2 linked regions of the Alligator mississippiensis genome follow. Each later gene encodes a partner of the first gene's protein in a complex. Links are inferred from orthologs where the notes say so. Each region holds a gene or a part of one and is shown on either strand. Other genes may lie near its edges.

Region 1 (7,979 bases):
AGCAATTTTCCAACTGAGTGTATACCCACCTCATCTAGGCATAATTCCTTAGCCTGCCTGTAAGAATGTCAAATGGGATAGTATCAAAAGCCTTGTTAAAAACTTAAGATAAAAAGATACTAGATACAATTATTTAATATAAACTGGATGTACAAGTTAAAATTATAACCAGAGACTATCAAATTATATAGTATTGTCTTTATTCTTAGTGTAGTCAGTCATTCTCAAGATTTTTATGTTTCACAAAGCTGCTATTATAGTTCTATAAAATGTAATTAGTTAACCTATTTCTGTTTTTTTTTAAAAAAGTGTACTGAAAGATACGGTCAAGTTAAAATTTATATTTTTACCATGGTAAAAATACTTTCAAGGATTAGTAAATGTTTACTTTTCAATATTTTTATTTTGCATTTATGCCAGTCTATACAATGAAGTCAAATAAGTCAACTAGTTTCACTTTTGTCTACAATCACTCCATTCTCACATCTTAGGCAAACAATGTAAAGATGTGTCGCAATGCTCATCAAATACCACAGGAAGACTTTGTTTTGAAAATATTCCAGAAGCTTTAAACACACAGCTTAAAGAAGAAAAGCAACACGTTTTCCCTTTTTTTTTTCTTGAAAAATAACTGTATGCTGAATTTGACCCGAGAATTTAACCTCTTTACATCCTGTTAATTTGTGACATTTGCAACAAAGGAAAACTAGGCTCTATTGTCAACCTTTGTACTCTGATTGCTGCAGACTGAGTTCATAGACCATTTTACAGCCTAATAACTTCAGCTAAACAAAGAGAAATTAGATCACATCACAGAAAGTTATTTTCCTTCCTGACCTACCCAAGGCACCAATTTTAAAATTATGACATACACATACGCTCCATGGTCAGAAACAAAAGGGCTGCTGCATACCAGCAACAGCACGTAAACTACGCGAGAGGTAGAAAACACCCTTTCATTTAATCTGTGCTGTCCATTAATTTAGCCACAACAAAGTTTTACAGGTTTCTGGTATTATAGGACTTACTGCTTAGGAATGCATCTGTCATATAGCATGTAAACATTAATGATACCCAAGACATGCTGGGCACTGAACTTCAGGCAATGACTGAGTAAGCATAAGGCAAAGAACCTTCACACAAAACCTTTCCCTGCTTGACAATTATTTAAAAATGAAGTGCTTAGAAATTAAGTTTTCAATGGGATTAAAAAAAAAAAAAATTATACTCCCCAACCCCCACAGTAGCATCTTCAGCTCCTGAAGGGGAGACAACAAACCACTGAAAACTCGTGCAACTTTAGCATTAACATAGGCTGATGTTATCTGTGCGAGGGGAAGGTTCTCCCAAAGCACCGTAGCAAGGAATTGTCATCTTAGATGACACTGGGTGAGTCTACACGCACGCTTTAATGTGCAGTAGTTTATTTTATTGCACATTAAAGTGCCATGTACAAAAAAGTGCAATAACACTAATGCGCAGTAAAATAGACAACTGCATTAAATATCACTTTAAAAATGTCTGCTTTCGATACAGTGCCTCTGGTTAGCCTAACACGCATTTATTTAGTACCTCACATTGGAGGTACGGTACTAAATTTAATGCGCATTAGGAAAAGCGAATTAACGCACACACAGACGCTCCAGCAGCATCATGGAGAAGTTGTCGTCTTTTAGATGACAAAGAGTCAGAGAGAAGCAGGGCTGGAAGGGACCTCCAGAGGTCATCTAGTCCAATGGTTCGCAACCTTTTTTGTACCAGGATCCATTTGTTAACACCGATATCCAGTCCCAACCCAGTGCCCCTCACTCCCAACCCAGTGCTCCCCTGCCCCCAGGTCCCAGCTCCCCCAGTGTGTGGGGGAGGGGGATGTGGGGGTAAGGGGTGCCCCAAGCAGCCCCTTGCAGGGTGAAACTCTGCCAACCTGCAAGGGAAAAGCCAGTTTCCCCCGATTTTCTCCTTGAAAGAAGAATCCTTTTTGAAAGTATGTTGATCCATTATTCTTGTGACCCATTTTTGGGTCGTGACCCACAGGTTGAGAAACTCAGGCTGATCATCTCACCCCTGCCTGAGGCAGGCAGCCCTGCCCAGAGCATCCCACACAAGCCATCACCCGAACGCCACAGAAGGCTGCTGTCAAGGCAGGCAAGGGTCCCCAGATAGATGCGGTCTCTTTTATTAGACAGACCAACTCCAAAGTCGGAAAAAGGTTCTTTACAAGCTTTGCCAACTTTCAGGCTTGCAAAGAACCGTTTTTCCAGCTTTGGAGTTGGTCTAATAAAAGAGATCACATCTACCCAAGCAACCATGCCTGCCTCTGCCCTTAAGACCCAGGAGACTACAACCAACAACCCTGCTGTCAAGGCAGGCAGGATACCCGCCTCGAGCAGTAAGGAAGTTCTGATGATGATAATTACTACTAGTATTATTAATTAAATACGTGTTATGAAATTAATTATCATCGTCCCACTTATCTAGCAGAGGAGGAGGTGGTGAACAGTCACCGGAGGGCGGCTTCCGGGGGTCCCCAGGGAGGCCCTGCACCCCTGAGCCCCGCGCCTGCCGCTCGGCCCCGCGGGCACGGGGAGGAGGGCGGGCGGGCCGCGGGGCAGGGCAGGGTAGGGCAGGGCACGAGGCCCCCCCCCGGCGGGGCGAGGGCAGCAGCGCCCGACTCGGTGCAAGCGCCCCTGCCGTGGCCGGGCGCGGGAGCCCCCAAGGGGCAGAGCGGGGCTCGGGCCAGGCGGCACTTCCCCGGGCTGCCCCCGCCGGCCCCCGGGGAAAGGAGCGGAGGCGGCGCCGCTTCTGGCCCAGCCAAACCCGCGGGGCTGTCACAGCCGCTGCCCTGCCGCCCCGGCCCCGCGGCAGCCCGCGCTGCGCTGCGCTGCGCTGCGCCGCGGCCCAGGGGGTGGACGGGGAGGGGAGGGGAGAGGAGAAGAGAGGAAGGGGCGCGGGCGCAGTTACCGCCGGGCGCTGCTGAGCTCCGTGTCCGGCGGGCGCTGCTGCTCCACGGGCCAGGCGCACGTCAGCGCCGGCTGCGAGCGGGGCGGGGCGGGGCGGGGCGGGGGGCGGTGCTGCGGCCCGGCCCCGCCCCGGAAGCGCCGCCGGCAGGAGAGGGGCGGCCGGCACCAGCGGCCGGCCCGAGGCGGGGGCGAGCGGGCGGGTTCCCGCGGTTAGGGCTGGGCGTGACAGGCGGGGGGAGGGGGAGCGCGTATGCGTGCGCGACAGGTCCACAGGTGTGCAGTTCACGAGGTGCGTGTGTGCAGACAAGGATCTCTGGGTGAATCTGGTATCTTTTATTACACCAACACGTACGTGTGTGTAACAGGTTCAGGAGTGGGGGCTGTGAGACAGGTTGGGGGGTGTAAGAGGGAGACAAGGTGCTTTGGGTGAGTCTGATATCTTTTATTCGGCCAACTTAAATAGCTGGAAAAAAAAACAATTGTAGCAAGCTTTCCGGTTTAAAAAACCCTTGGTCAGGCTGGGGAAGGCTCTGCAGTTGGTGGCTGGGATGAATAGTAAAGAATTGCATCCACCCAGGAAAAGCAACACTGACTGCAGAGGTTTCCCCAGCCTGACCAAGGGTTTTTAAACCAGAAAGCTTGCTAAAAAAAAATTTCCAGCTATTTAAGTTGGTCTAATAAATGATATCAGATTCACCCAAAGAACCTTGCTTGACTCTGTCCTTAGACCAACAGGGCTACAACCTGCACCCCTGAGAGAGAGAGAGAAAGAGAGAGGTTCAGGTGTGTGAGATTCAGGAGTGCAGGCGTGTGTGCCAAGTTCAGGAGAGGTGTCCAAGGTGGGGGGGGGGGGGTGGTGCACACACATCACATGTAGGTGTGTGTGCACCAGATTCGGGGGGGGAGGGTGGCTGTGTCAAGTTCAGGTGTGTTTGCAGGTGCATGTCAAGTTCAGAGCATGTCACATCCCAGGGGCTCAGATGTGCATGCAAACTCAAGGGGGCACGTGTTCAGTTTTGGGCAGAAAGCACCCAGGTCTCTTCAAACCCACATTTTGCCACTATTGCCCTTCATTGGATGCTCCCGGATGCCTTCATATGGTGTTTAAAACTAATTCCAGGTTTTTTCCAGTGACAGTTCTGAGTTCCTAGACCAGGGGAGTGTGATACCGGCCATTTCAAATATTGCCTTTCAGGACAGTAGTTAATCCTGATTTCTGTTTGCAGAACATACACCCAGATAAGGATTATTTTTATGTTGGGGAGGGGGGAATGTGAATGGCAAACTGTGTTATATTTAGCATGTGCTGACTAGTTAAAAAGCCTCATGGAAATAGGCTACATCCTGGCAGGAAATGGTCAACCAAACATATTTAATGTATACAAATTACTCGGTTCTTCCTGAGGGATTTTTTTTCCCTATACAAATAAAGACTCTGAAATTTAGAGTGGCTGAACTTTGGGGTGCATCATCCTAAAGCAGGAAAAAAAAGTTAGCAGTTATCACCATTTTTAGAAGGAAGTATTTAGAGAAACTCCTGAGAGACCTGCTGAGCTTCACCTGACCATATCATTTGTATTACCTAAATTTATATTAACCTTGGAACAAATTATTTTAAAATAACTCATAAATATTCCTTTGTCTTTGGTCCTTGGTCTTTGTGTCCTTATGGATATTCAATGTATTTGTCATTTTCAGGGACAATTTTATTTAACTTGGAGGTAAACACATTTCTTAAAATTGTTGTGGGCAATGACTGCAGCTTGGAATGGAAATACTTCACTTCCTCTTTGTGAACTTTACAAGAGATGACTAAATCAAGGGCTGTTACCTTTTAAACAGATAAACATTGTGATAGATTACACTTGTGAAAAGATGTTGTGCATCCAAATGTTTGCTGTAACACTGCAGAGAATTTCTTCAAGACCTCAGGTTCCACTTCCTGGTTAAAAAGAATATATCTGTCTTATACTTTTCTCTTGGGGAGCTCTAAAAAAAATCCAGGATACAGTTTGTTCTCCAGCTGTGTCCGCCAACTTCTCATAAGAAAGCAATTTAGAGGAAAATGAACACCAAAGTTAAAACGTGGATGTAAGAATTATTCTTGGTATTTTTCTGTGACTTGGAATAAAATACATGATGAAATGTATGGTAGACAACATTCTTTGGGTAAATCCAGTATCTTTTATTAGACCAACTAAAAATGATGAAATGTATTTCACTTTTACCTTTTCTGTACACAAGGAACCAACAGCAAGAGACATCTCAAACTTCATCTATAAAAGAGATGAACCAAAGCTAGAGAGTCTGAATCATGTTAAGCTTTTCCAAAACTATGGATAAGGGCAGGATGGCCAATTTGGGATTTTAGGTCAGGTCTATTTTTACTTTACAGTCATTTTAGGAAATAAATTTTCATCAGCGAGACTGAACTTAATGGCCATCTAAGCAGGAATAATATATGCATTGTAGCAGTCCCAATGACTGTACCATACCATGACTATATTCTTCCTATTAAGTAAAGCACATTCTGTTTTCCATGCAAAAGAAGAAATCCAAAAAAGTACATTTGGTACAGATGGAAAATGTAGACATAACTCTTTCAAAAAAGTCTCCAGAATTTACTGTTTGCTAAAAATAATCTATCATGTGGAGCAAGAAGTACATCAGTGCTGTCCCAGCTTCTTGGAAAATAAAGCACATCAAAATCCTTCAAGGATCCTAAGAGCACAGTACCAAAGCCAGGAGAACCATGAGGGAGGACAACTATAGATTTTGTGAGATCTTATCACTGTTCATCTGAATGTGTGTGTTGTATTATAGTGTTGGTTTATTGCTATTGTCCACTCCATGTGCATGGGACTGGATTCCTCTGCCCAACAGCGTCCATCAAGGCTGCGTCTGCACAACAGATTATCTTTGACCTAGTCCCTGTACTGGAGGGTTTAAGCATAGAGTGGACCCAACTGTCCTTCATGTCTTTTTCCAACAGAATTTCAAAGGATTAGGACTAGGTAGTAGTGAGGAACATGGGTGAGACGTGGAATCCATGTGCACAACACATCTTGTCAAATCTTTTTCTCTTTGGGTGATTACCTAGCATGATGCCATCTCGGGTGATTGTGGGCCAGTGGACACCAAGGATGAAATTCTACTACATTTTGTGTGCCTGACTGGCAGTTTTCTAGCCATAGAAGTAGCCTTTTTAGCACTTAGGTACAGGTTGTTATTTTCTTACCTTGCACTGTGGGTGCTGAGGCTAGAAATATGAAGTCGCCAAATGAAGTGGATGAGTTGTGCTGGCATGTGTCCTGGCACTACTGATCCACTTCATTGGGTGAGACATACATCACCCATTGTCCCACTTGTTGATGCTGTGGGACAATGGGTGACGTGTTCTCCCAGGACTTGAGGAGCCTGGTCCTACATACTTCAGGAATTCCCATGCAGAATTGGGCCCCTGAGGCCCCGCGTATGTCTGCTTTCCCGCCTACAGGATGCTTCCCCGCCTACAGAGACATGGCCCCAATATTTCCCAGGGGCACATCTCTGTAAAGGAAACCCAACTTTCCCTGGCTAGGGAGGTGTACCCCAGAGATCCTGGGGCCAGGTCCCTGTAAGAGAGGAAAGCCAGGCAGGCATTCCCAGGGCTTGAGGGACCTGATCCCATGCAGGAATTCTTGGGGGGCACAGGAGCTGGTCCCTCAAACTCACAGAGCGCTCGCCCAGGTCATTTAGGATGTGCAGGCAGTCTCCTGCCACAAATCAGACTCCAGCAATAAAGAGGCATACATTAATACCGCCTTGCTGCAGCCATAAATTTTGGGCATTTGTGGCACAGCAAAGGGTTTAATGTCTGTTTGCTTGGCCTTTGGGCAGACATCAACATTTTTATGGAGATACAAGTGTAACAAAAAGCAAAATCTGTTTCCACTCATAGGTACTCACTTTTATTAGACTGAACATATGCTGTAGGTTACATATTGGCTGGCAGGTATGCACCTGTGTATGCAAACCTTTTCTGGACACGTAAGCCACAAAAATGTAACTGTCCAGAGCCCATAATTATAAATGGAATAGCAGAGTGCCTAGGGTGCTCACCCAGGAAGCAGGAGACCTGGGTGATGGGTCCCCATCACCCAGAGAGGGTTTGAACTTTCATCTCTGATTTCTCAGCAGTGCCCTAACCACCTCAGGTTAGGTGTTATCCGGTTGCATCCCCAGTGGTCCTTTTGAAGTTCGCCCCCTGAGCAGCCAAGAAAGGAAGATAGTGTGGGCCAGAAGAGAACAAGCCAGAGGGTGTGTAACTCAAGGCAATGACTGTTGCACCAGCTGGAAGGGGGCTCTGTGTTCTCACCTGAATCCCTGTTTTATCAGTGTCTCCTCTAGTTCAATAAGAGATTAAACTGATTTTGCTCATGCATTTTTTCCTGCTGTGACAAAGTCTCATTGACCAAGAGTTCAACTAGCTGCACTTTCCACCTATTTAGCAAGGGTGTCAGGGGGTGCTGTCATTGGGCATAGAGTTTAATTACTCTGTATTTTACATGCTGTAAGAAACAGGGACCCATGCCATTGTATTGATGTGCCAGATACTAAGGCAGTGAATGCTAAGGTATTGCTGTTAGGGGAAAGCCAGTCCACAGGTTTGTGGATACCACCACCATACATTTAACAGTTGGGACTGAGGTGCCAGAGGGATCTTTGACCGTTTGTTTGTTTTTTTGTTGGTTTGCTGAGTCAGGCACCTAACACCTTGCAATTTAGTAAGTATTGAAGAAGGTGCCCTAGACCTTAGCATCTCAGAAGCAGTGACCTCCTTCCCTGAGGTCACTGACATTGGAATAGAGAAGCAGGACTGAAGTTTATTGGTCAAAACAGCATGGTAACATGAGCGGGAAATCTCAGCTCAACAAGGCACTCAAGGGAAGAGGATCTAGCAATCTATCCTTCTAGTGTCCTCAGAGGCTTGCAGGGAAAGTTCCATAAGGAACTCCACGAGATGTGCCTCTGGCATTT
Region 2 (7,382 bases), on another chromosome or scaffold:
AGGCTGCGCCCATCAATGGCTTCAATCATGTCACCCACACCGATGAGGGGGATGCGGTCAATCACGCTGCCCTCCTTGATGCGCTGTGGGGGCAGGGGTTGCACTGGGACTCATGGCTGGGACAGCCTGAGCACCCCCCCTCCCCAGTGCCTTCCTGGCACAGCCAGCTGGCCTTGGCCCCTCACTCCTAACCCTGCCCAGGCAGGGACCACAGAGGGCTGTAGGTTGGGAGTAAGGGACAATGGCAAGCTGGCAGGGGGAGGGCAGTGGTCCGGGACTGGAAGTGAGGGGCACTGGCTGGGTTGGGGGAGCAGTGGACTGTGAGTCAGGAGTGAGGGGCACCAGCAGGGAGCTAGTGATCAGGAACGAAGCCTAGGTCTTTCCTGACCCTGCCATGCCCTGAAGCACAAGGACCCCTGTGTCCCCAGCTGGATCGAACATGTCCCCTGCATTGACTCCTTCTGCCCAGATTGCACTGCCTCACTTTGAAGGGGCTGAAGCCCCTGGCACGGACCTGCAGCCATACATGGGGCCTTCTGCCCACTGCCGAGATGTGCCCAGCTTTGGGGCAGAACATGGCAGCATGGAACAGCAGGGCGAAAGTCTGAAGCCCCGGAACTGGAGAACATCACAAACTGGGGATTAGCAGATGCCAGAGATTTGGGCTGAGACAGCAGGGCTGTGATCCCACCCAGACCCTGGGGGCTGTGGGTGAGGAGTGATGGGCACCAGATGCTGTGGGTCAGGTCCCACCTTGATGAAGGCATAGCCGGCCCCATTGTCAGTGATGGTGAGCCCCAGAGCATCCTCAGCCTTGAGCACCTCGACTTCTTTGCGCTGCCCCCGTGTGTGGGCAAAGATGAAATCCTCCAGGCCAATCTGCCCCCCCAACAGCTTCTCCATGTCCACCTTGTGTGTGTTGAGGGTGCAGAACATCACCTGTGGGTGGGGAGGGGTGGTGAGCAACACCAAGAGGCCCCATTCCCTGCCTCTCACCCCCCAGACCCTGTCTTCTTGCATCCCAGGCCCAGGACCCCCATCCTTTCCCCCCTTGAGGTTCAAACCCCCTGCCCACCCCTGCCTCCTACCGGGCCCCTCAGGCCCTGGATCATCATCCCTCCACCCATCCTCACCCTCTGCCCCAAGCCTCCCACCTGCTCACCTACCCCAGGCCCTAAACCCATCCCTTCAGACAGCCACACCGGCTGCCCCCCAGGACCTGTCTCCCTGTCTGCCCCCCCCACCCACTAGACCTGTCCCATGCCCCTTATCCCTCCACCTACACCCCCTGTCCCCAGCCTCCCCCACAGCTTCAGCCCCCTGTAGCTCCAGGTCCTGTGCCCCTTCCTCCCTAGGCACCTCAGTGGGGGGGATGTGGAAGGCCTCAGCGATCTTGCCGTAGAGCTCGCGCACATTGGTGAAGCCCTCAATGCGGCCTGTGGGGCTGCCGTGTGCCAGTTGTGTGTGGAAGACCAGGCGGGGTCGCAGGCCAGCAGGCGGGGGAGGCAGGCCAGGATGCAGGGCTCCCAGCCCTCCTGGACCCCCTGCCCCATCTCCCCCACCTGGCCCCGCACGCCCCACCTCTGCCTCCTCATTCTCCACCAGCGGGGGGGGCTTCTTCCGGCGCCCAAGGCCTAACGGCATGAGGGCAGGGGGACCACGGCCAGCACCAGCACCCACGGGTGACACCTGTTGGGGGGGGGGACAGAGGCTGCAGGGAGGGCACCTGGGTCCCAGCCCAGCTGCCGCACCAGACTGAAACTGCACCCCCGCAGGACACCAGTCCCCCACCCCAGATTCCAGACCACCCTTGCACCCCCTCCCAGGCTCCCTGGACCCCAAAGATGGCTCCTCCCCCCCAGGATGCTCTCCCAGATTCCTTGTCCCCTCAGGGGTAGGTAGAAGCCAGCGCAGGGGGGTCCCGGCACCAGGCACTGGAATGCGGGTGGAGCTGCCATGCCCGGCTGACTCAGAGCTGAGGAACGGGCCCCAGCGGGTTCTTCCAATGCCCGGGAAATGTGGCTACCCACCCCCTGCCCCTTTCCTGGGGCAGAGGAAAGCTTTTACCACTTCCCCCATGCCAGCTGCCAGGGACCCTCCAGTGCCTTCTCCTGGGACTGCATATCCCAGAGCCAGAAAAGGCCTCAGTCCCCCTGCAACACCTGGGTCTATTGTACTCATCTTTCCAGCCTGTTCTATGTGGCAGTTCAGCTGTTGCATGCTCAGAGCTGGGTATGTTTCCTCCACCCTGGTCTCTCCAGAGGCTCTGGGCCTGGTCCCCCCCAGAGGTGGCTGCATGCTGCAGGCCAAGCTGGCAGGTGCTGGGGGCCTGGCAGAGGTCGTGGGGCCTGGCTCAGCCCCACACCCAGGGGGTTGGTAGGTCCCCAGCAGCTACCTGCTGTGGGCCTGGGTCCAGGTAGAGGACCAGGCTTGTTAATGTGCCTAGGGAGGGCAGGGTTCCTGCCTGGGAACAAGTTAAAGGCAACCTCGCCATTGTGACTGAGCAGGGCCTAGCAACACCAGGGCAGTGTGGGCAGGAGCCAGGGCATGGGGGGGGGGGGTGTAGGGTGGGGGTGTAGCACTTCCTACACTCCACTGCCCCCAGGTTTCATCCCTGCTCCCTTGGTGCCTCAGGGAAGCCAAACGGGTAAGTAAACGGGAAGCCAACAGCTAGGGGCTCCCCCATCCATGTGGGGAAACTGAGGCACAGAGGGACATGTCAGGTCGGGGGGAGAGGAATCAATGGCTGAGCCTGGGACCGGACCCAGGAGTCCTGCCTTGTGCTCCTGCCCGATGGGGGGGGGGGTCATGGCCTGGGTGCCCGGCAGTGGCAGAAGGCAGGACCCCTGACCAGGGGCACATGGCAACCCTGCTCCCCCCAGCCCTAACGCCCCGCTCTGTGCCCTCCCCCCGGCGCGCCCGGCACAGACCCCAGAACCAGCCCCCGCCTTCCGCCCGGCTCAAGACCCCTGCCCCCTCCCCCCATCGCAGCCCCACACTCACGCGTCCACCCGCGCCAGCCACCCCGCACCTCCACCCAACTCCAGCTGGGGCCTGCGCCGCCGGGAGGGGGGGCGGGACCAGCCTCAGCGCCTCCGCCAATCACAGAGCGGCCTTGCGTTGCCGCCGACCAATCGCAGCGCGGCCTGCCGTTCAGGGCTGGGTGGGCCGTTCCGGATTCAGCCGCTTCCCCCGCCTGGGTGCAGTTGGAAGCGTCCAAACCCAGGGAAGGGGAAGGTGGGAGGTACCATGAGAGGGGAGTGCGGGGAGTGGTTGGGGGGGAGGGGTTAACATTTGCTGAGTGCGTAGGAGAGACCATTCAGAGGAGTTGGATACGCCCCCAGCCAATTGCAGACCAGATCCGGCCAGAACGAGCCAATCAGGTGTGCTGTCGGGTGGGCAGCCAAGTCAGGTGCATCCCGGGGGTCTCGCAGGTCTTGGCGGGACCATACGCACTGAACCACATCGGCGCGAGCGCTGGACTACAAGTCCCGTCATACAATGCTCGCTCGAGGCACGCCCGGACCCGTAGTTTCTGGGAGGTGGCTGCAGGAGGCCCGTATTGTCTTATAGCCGAGCGCAAGCAGCACGGCCTGTCCCGGAATGCAGGTGTCTGGCTGTAGCTGCCAGGGACCAGAAGGCAGGGATCTAGGCTCCGAGATCCCCTCAGCTGCGGAGAAAAGCATGTAGATCCGGCCAGGGCCCAACCCAGGGGAAGCTACCGGCTGGGAAAACCCAGGATCTTGCTTCTGCCTGGGAGTGTCATGTAATTGCTACCTGTGCCAACAGGAAATCCTACTCTATCCTTCTCCTAAGGAGTAACAGGGGCTGAATGCGTCTGGGCCTCTGGGCTTTCACCACACCCTTGTTCATTCAGCAAGGGGCTGTGGGACACACCCCTGTACAGCAAGCCAGGCCAACAAGCAGGAAAAGCTGCACCCACAGGATGAGGGCTAGTAGTTGCTAGTGGCTTTAATAAAGATCTGGGTGAGCGTAGGTCTTGGCTCTTTTAAGCTGGCACCTGCATATCTTTTGTTCCACGCAGGGCAGGGAATCTACATTGCAGTTGCTTCACCTAATCTTAGCCCTACACCCACTGTCCCCACCCTTCCCAGTGGGGATCTAGCCTATTTAAAACCCTGCCTTAGTAAAATAACAGCAGCTGTGGGAAAGGCCACTTTGAGCCACTCAGTGTCTAACAAGTGCAACTCAATATTGCTTCCCACATCAGGACAGATACCTCTCCCCCAAATAAGGCCACACAGGGCTTTGGCTACCAAGACTTTAATCGTAACCCCAGTTTGGTCTTATCACATTAGTAACTGAAAATTGTCAGTCCAGCCATACTTCAAAACAGTGCTGCATGTTTAAAAAAAGGGAAGGTCACCAGCTCCTCCCATGAGTCTTTAATTCAGATACAATCCTATAAAATAAACCAGCCTCTCCACTGCATTTTAATTACATGTCAAATTTACACAACTTTTATACAAAGTATGTACAAGAAGTGCTGTAATGCTCCTGTACCAGGAGCAGGAACCCTTTAATTAAAAAAGGATAGCAAAGGTGGTGTTAACAAGCTCAGAGGCCAAGGCCTCAAATGCCCCAGAGTTCAGTGGTTGGCCAAAATCCTCTGGTTTAAGACAGCAACTGTGAGTAAGGAAAGGAGTCAGACTCTGCTGCTGGCAGAGATGCAAGAACCAGGCAATACCTGCTCAGCCCATTGCCCTACCAGGAATTGAGCCCAAGAATGTAGAGGGATGCATCTATGAAAGTCTCTTCAGAAAAAAGATTTGAAAAAGCAGATTATATTTAAGACCCAGGAAATCCCTTTGCATTATTTTTCTAGGCCTGGATAGCTACTGGTTTAAACTCCAGGGCTTATTCATTTCATCTCATCTTCAAGACATTTGTTTAAGCCCTAGTGTTTACCAGGGTTATTTTCACAGACCCACAATTAAGTTCAGCGAGAGTATATCCACCTTCCAGCAAACAAAATAGGCAGGCAGGACTCTGAGGTGGGAATTCATAGCCAAGAACATCCAAGTGACCCAGGATAAAAGTTCTCCAGTGAATTAACAAGGAACACAAGACACAAAGCAAGGACTACAACAGTAAGGACTGTCCAGTTTGGAGTTTATGCCCCCCACATGGTGAAGGGATTCCAACTCAGCAAGAGATGAAGTGCAAGGCAGCTGTCCTATTTAGGGCTGCCCAGGATGCAGACAGTGGGTTGAGTCATTGGTCACATCCTTACAAGATGATTTGTCAGCAGTGTGTCTGTAGGCTCCTCCCAAATGTAGCAGCTCACTGGTGTAGGTGATTCAAGCAATGTTCTGGGTCAAGGCACTGAAACCAAGTTCCCAGAGCCCCAGCCTGGAGCCCAAGGCTATGGTCCCACAGGCTTTGGTGTTCAGCCAGTCTTGGTCTCAGGTCCACAGATTGCACAAACTAGATGGGAAGGATCTGCTCCAGAGCTTTCTTGGATGTCTGGGGGATTCTGTCTGGGAACCGCACATCAAACTCTATGATAAGATCCCCGCGTTGGTCTGGGTTCTTGGGGTATGGGAGACCTTCCCCAGTGATCCTGCGCTTTGCTCCAGGCTTGATGATGTCTTTGAATGACATGGGAATGGTCCTGCCATCCAGCGTTGGGACGTTCACCGTGCAGCCACACAGGGCCTGCAGAGAGAGACAAGTCAGAGAGACCATGAAATTCAACAAAAGGTCTGTACACCCCAGACCCAAAGCTAGAACTCCAGCGAGTCCTGTACCCAGACCCCCTAACTCACCTCTCGGAGGCTGATCTTAGCTGGGAAGATGATGTCCGAGCCATCCCTCTTGAAGATGCTGTGTGGCTTGTCTTTTAGAACAAAGACAATGTCGGCTGGAATGTTGTTGGGCGTTTGGTCACCCTCCTTGGGGAATGTGATCTTGGTCCCTTCCTTCCACCCCCGTTTCACCTCAATGGTTAGGATCTTGTCCTCGTTGCGTGTCGTCTTCCCATCCGGGTTGAGACGTTTGTGAGAAATCTTCATCTTCTTGGTGCAGCCCGAGTAGACCTCCTCTAAGGAGACCCTCAGGTCATGCGTGATGGGAGGGTCCTGCTTCCGGCGAAGGCTGTTGTGGCCCCCTCGGGTGCGGGGGAAACCCGCATTGCTGAAACTTCCCATTTGGAAGGTGACAAAAGGGTCATCAATGTCCATGTCTTCATCCCCATTCCTCTGCATGAAGAAGGTATCAAAGGGATTCCGGCCTCCAAAGAACTCAGCAAACACAACATGAGGGTCTCCATGGAACGTGTAGGTGAATGATGGGCCATTAGCACCACCTCCCATGTTGGAGCCACCTCCTTTTAGCCCTGAAAAACAGGCAATAAACCTGCTGTTAGTTTATCAGTCTCCACTTTCACTCATGTGCTTACCCCAGGATTCCAGATCCCCAGCTCCAGAACCATCCAAGCTTTTGGCCTCTGTTCCCACCACCATTGTCATTTTGTCTCATCCTTCAGTTCTGAGGTGCCTCACAGAAGAGAAGTCTCATCTTGACCTGGCAAGTACTTTCTCTAATCACAAGGGAAATTAGAGTCACCTCCAAGAGTTCTGATATCCAGAGCTTCCAGCTTTTCAAACACAGATCAGTTTATACAGTGAATTTGATTGTATCATTTGGGTTAACATTCCCCCTCCCCATATCAAGGCAGGGAACGTAGGAGCCTATGGACTTCCTATTCCTGAACTGAAGGAAAACACATGCTTAACAGCAGCCCCAGAGGCACAATAGCAATTGAGGGTGCTTGGAAACAGCAAGGCAAGCTCTTCCTGCCTTGGGAGATTAAGGCAGGGGCTGCAGGGAGTTCAAGTTAACACAGAAGATTCTAGCATATTTGTTTGCTTGTAACTCCAAGCCACGCCCTTGCAAGGCTCCACCTCTCCCAACACAGCCAATCCACACAGACCTGCCAACACTTTGGCACACAAGGGCAAGCTCAATGTCTACCAAGAACACAGGCCAGCTTTACAAAAACTGCAAAGCTGTTTCAGGATGTTTTCTCTCCTGTTCTGCCAGTTCTGGTTCCTCACCCACTGTCTCCAAGCAACAGCTCAGTCACAGGTATGAGCCAGGAGCTGCAAGGCTCATGCAAGGAGCAGTAGAACAAGCCTGTGTGCCCTCAGTGCTAAATTAAAGGCTTGATCTAGACCAATCCTGACACTTCCACCCTTAAGGTGGGGAGTCAGGCAAGCACACTGTGCCCCAGGTCCTTGTCCTTCAGCTTTAGAACAGGCCCCAAGAAAGCATGAAATAAGGACTCTTTACAGTGTCAAAGCTAAAAGTTAGCAGCTAGCAGCAAGAGATAAGGATTCATCTGGCCAGTTTCCAAGCCC

What was found.
Region 2: the proteins of MYO6 (region 1) and GIPC1 are in contact, whole or in part, in a crystal structure (PDB 5V6E), measured with the Mus musculus proteins. The link is inferred for Alligator mississippiensis from reciprocal best matches to the Homo sapiens genes MYO6 and GIPC1. Residues at the interface, in NP_001034635.2 of Mus musculus: Ser1055, Lys1056, Trp1057, Lys1058, Tyr1059, Ala1060, Arg1084, Arg1085, Leu1086, Val1088, Tyr1089, Trp1092, Lys1093, Asn1096; in NP_061241.1 of Mus musculus: Glu273, Ser274, Tyr275, Met276, Gly277, Ile278, Arg279, Asp280, Glu282, Leu283, Thr286, Asp310, Phe311, Ala312, Pro314, Glu316.

Annotation. Positions count from the first base shown.
Region 1 is NC_081824.1:65,992,123-66,000,101, reverse strand, and holds the start of MYO6 (unconventional myosin-VI), read right to left. Parts: upstream 3,058-7,979; 5' UTR 2,962-3,057; intron 1-2,961. UniProt on the Homo sapiens protein: Myosins are actin-based motor molecules with ATPase activity. Unconventional myosins serve in intracellular movements. Myosin 6 is a reverse-direction motor protein that moves towards the minus-end of actin filaments.
Region 2 is NC_081831.1:24,771,981-24,779,362, forward strand, and holds the start of GIPC1 (PDZ domain-containing protein GIPC1), read right to left. Parts: upstream 3,091-7,382; 5' UTR 3,004-3,090; intron 1,690-3,003; 5' UTR 1,645-1,689; coding exon 1,360-1,644; intron 940-1,359; coding exon 754-939; intron 84-753; coding exon 1-83. Other genes in the region: DNAJB1 (dnaJ homolog subfamily B member 1), read right to left, coding at 5,449-5,679, 5,790-6,358. UniProt on the Homo sapiens protein: May be involved in G protein-linked signaling.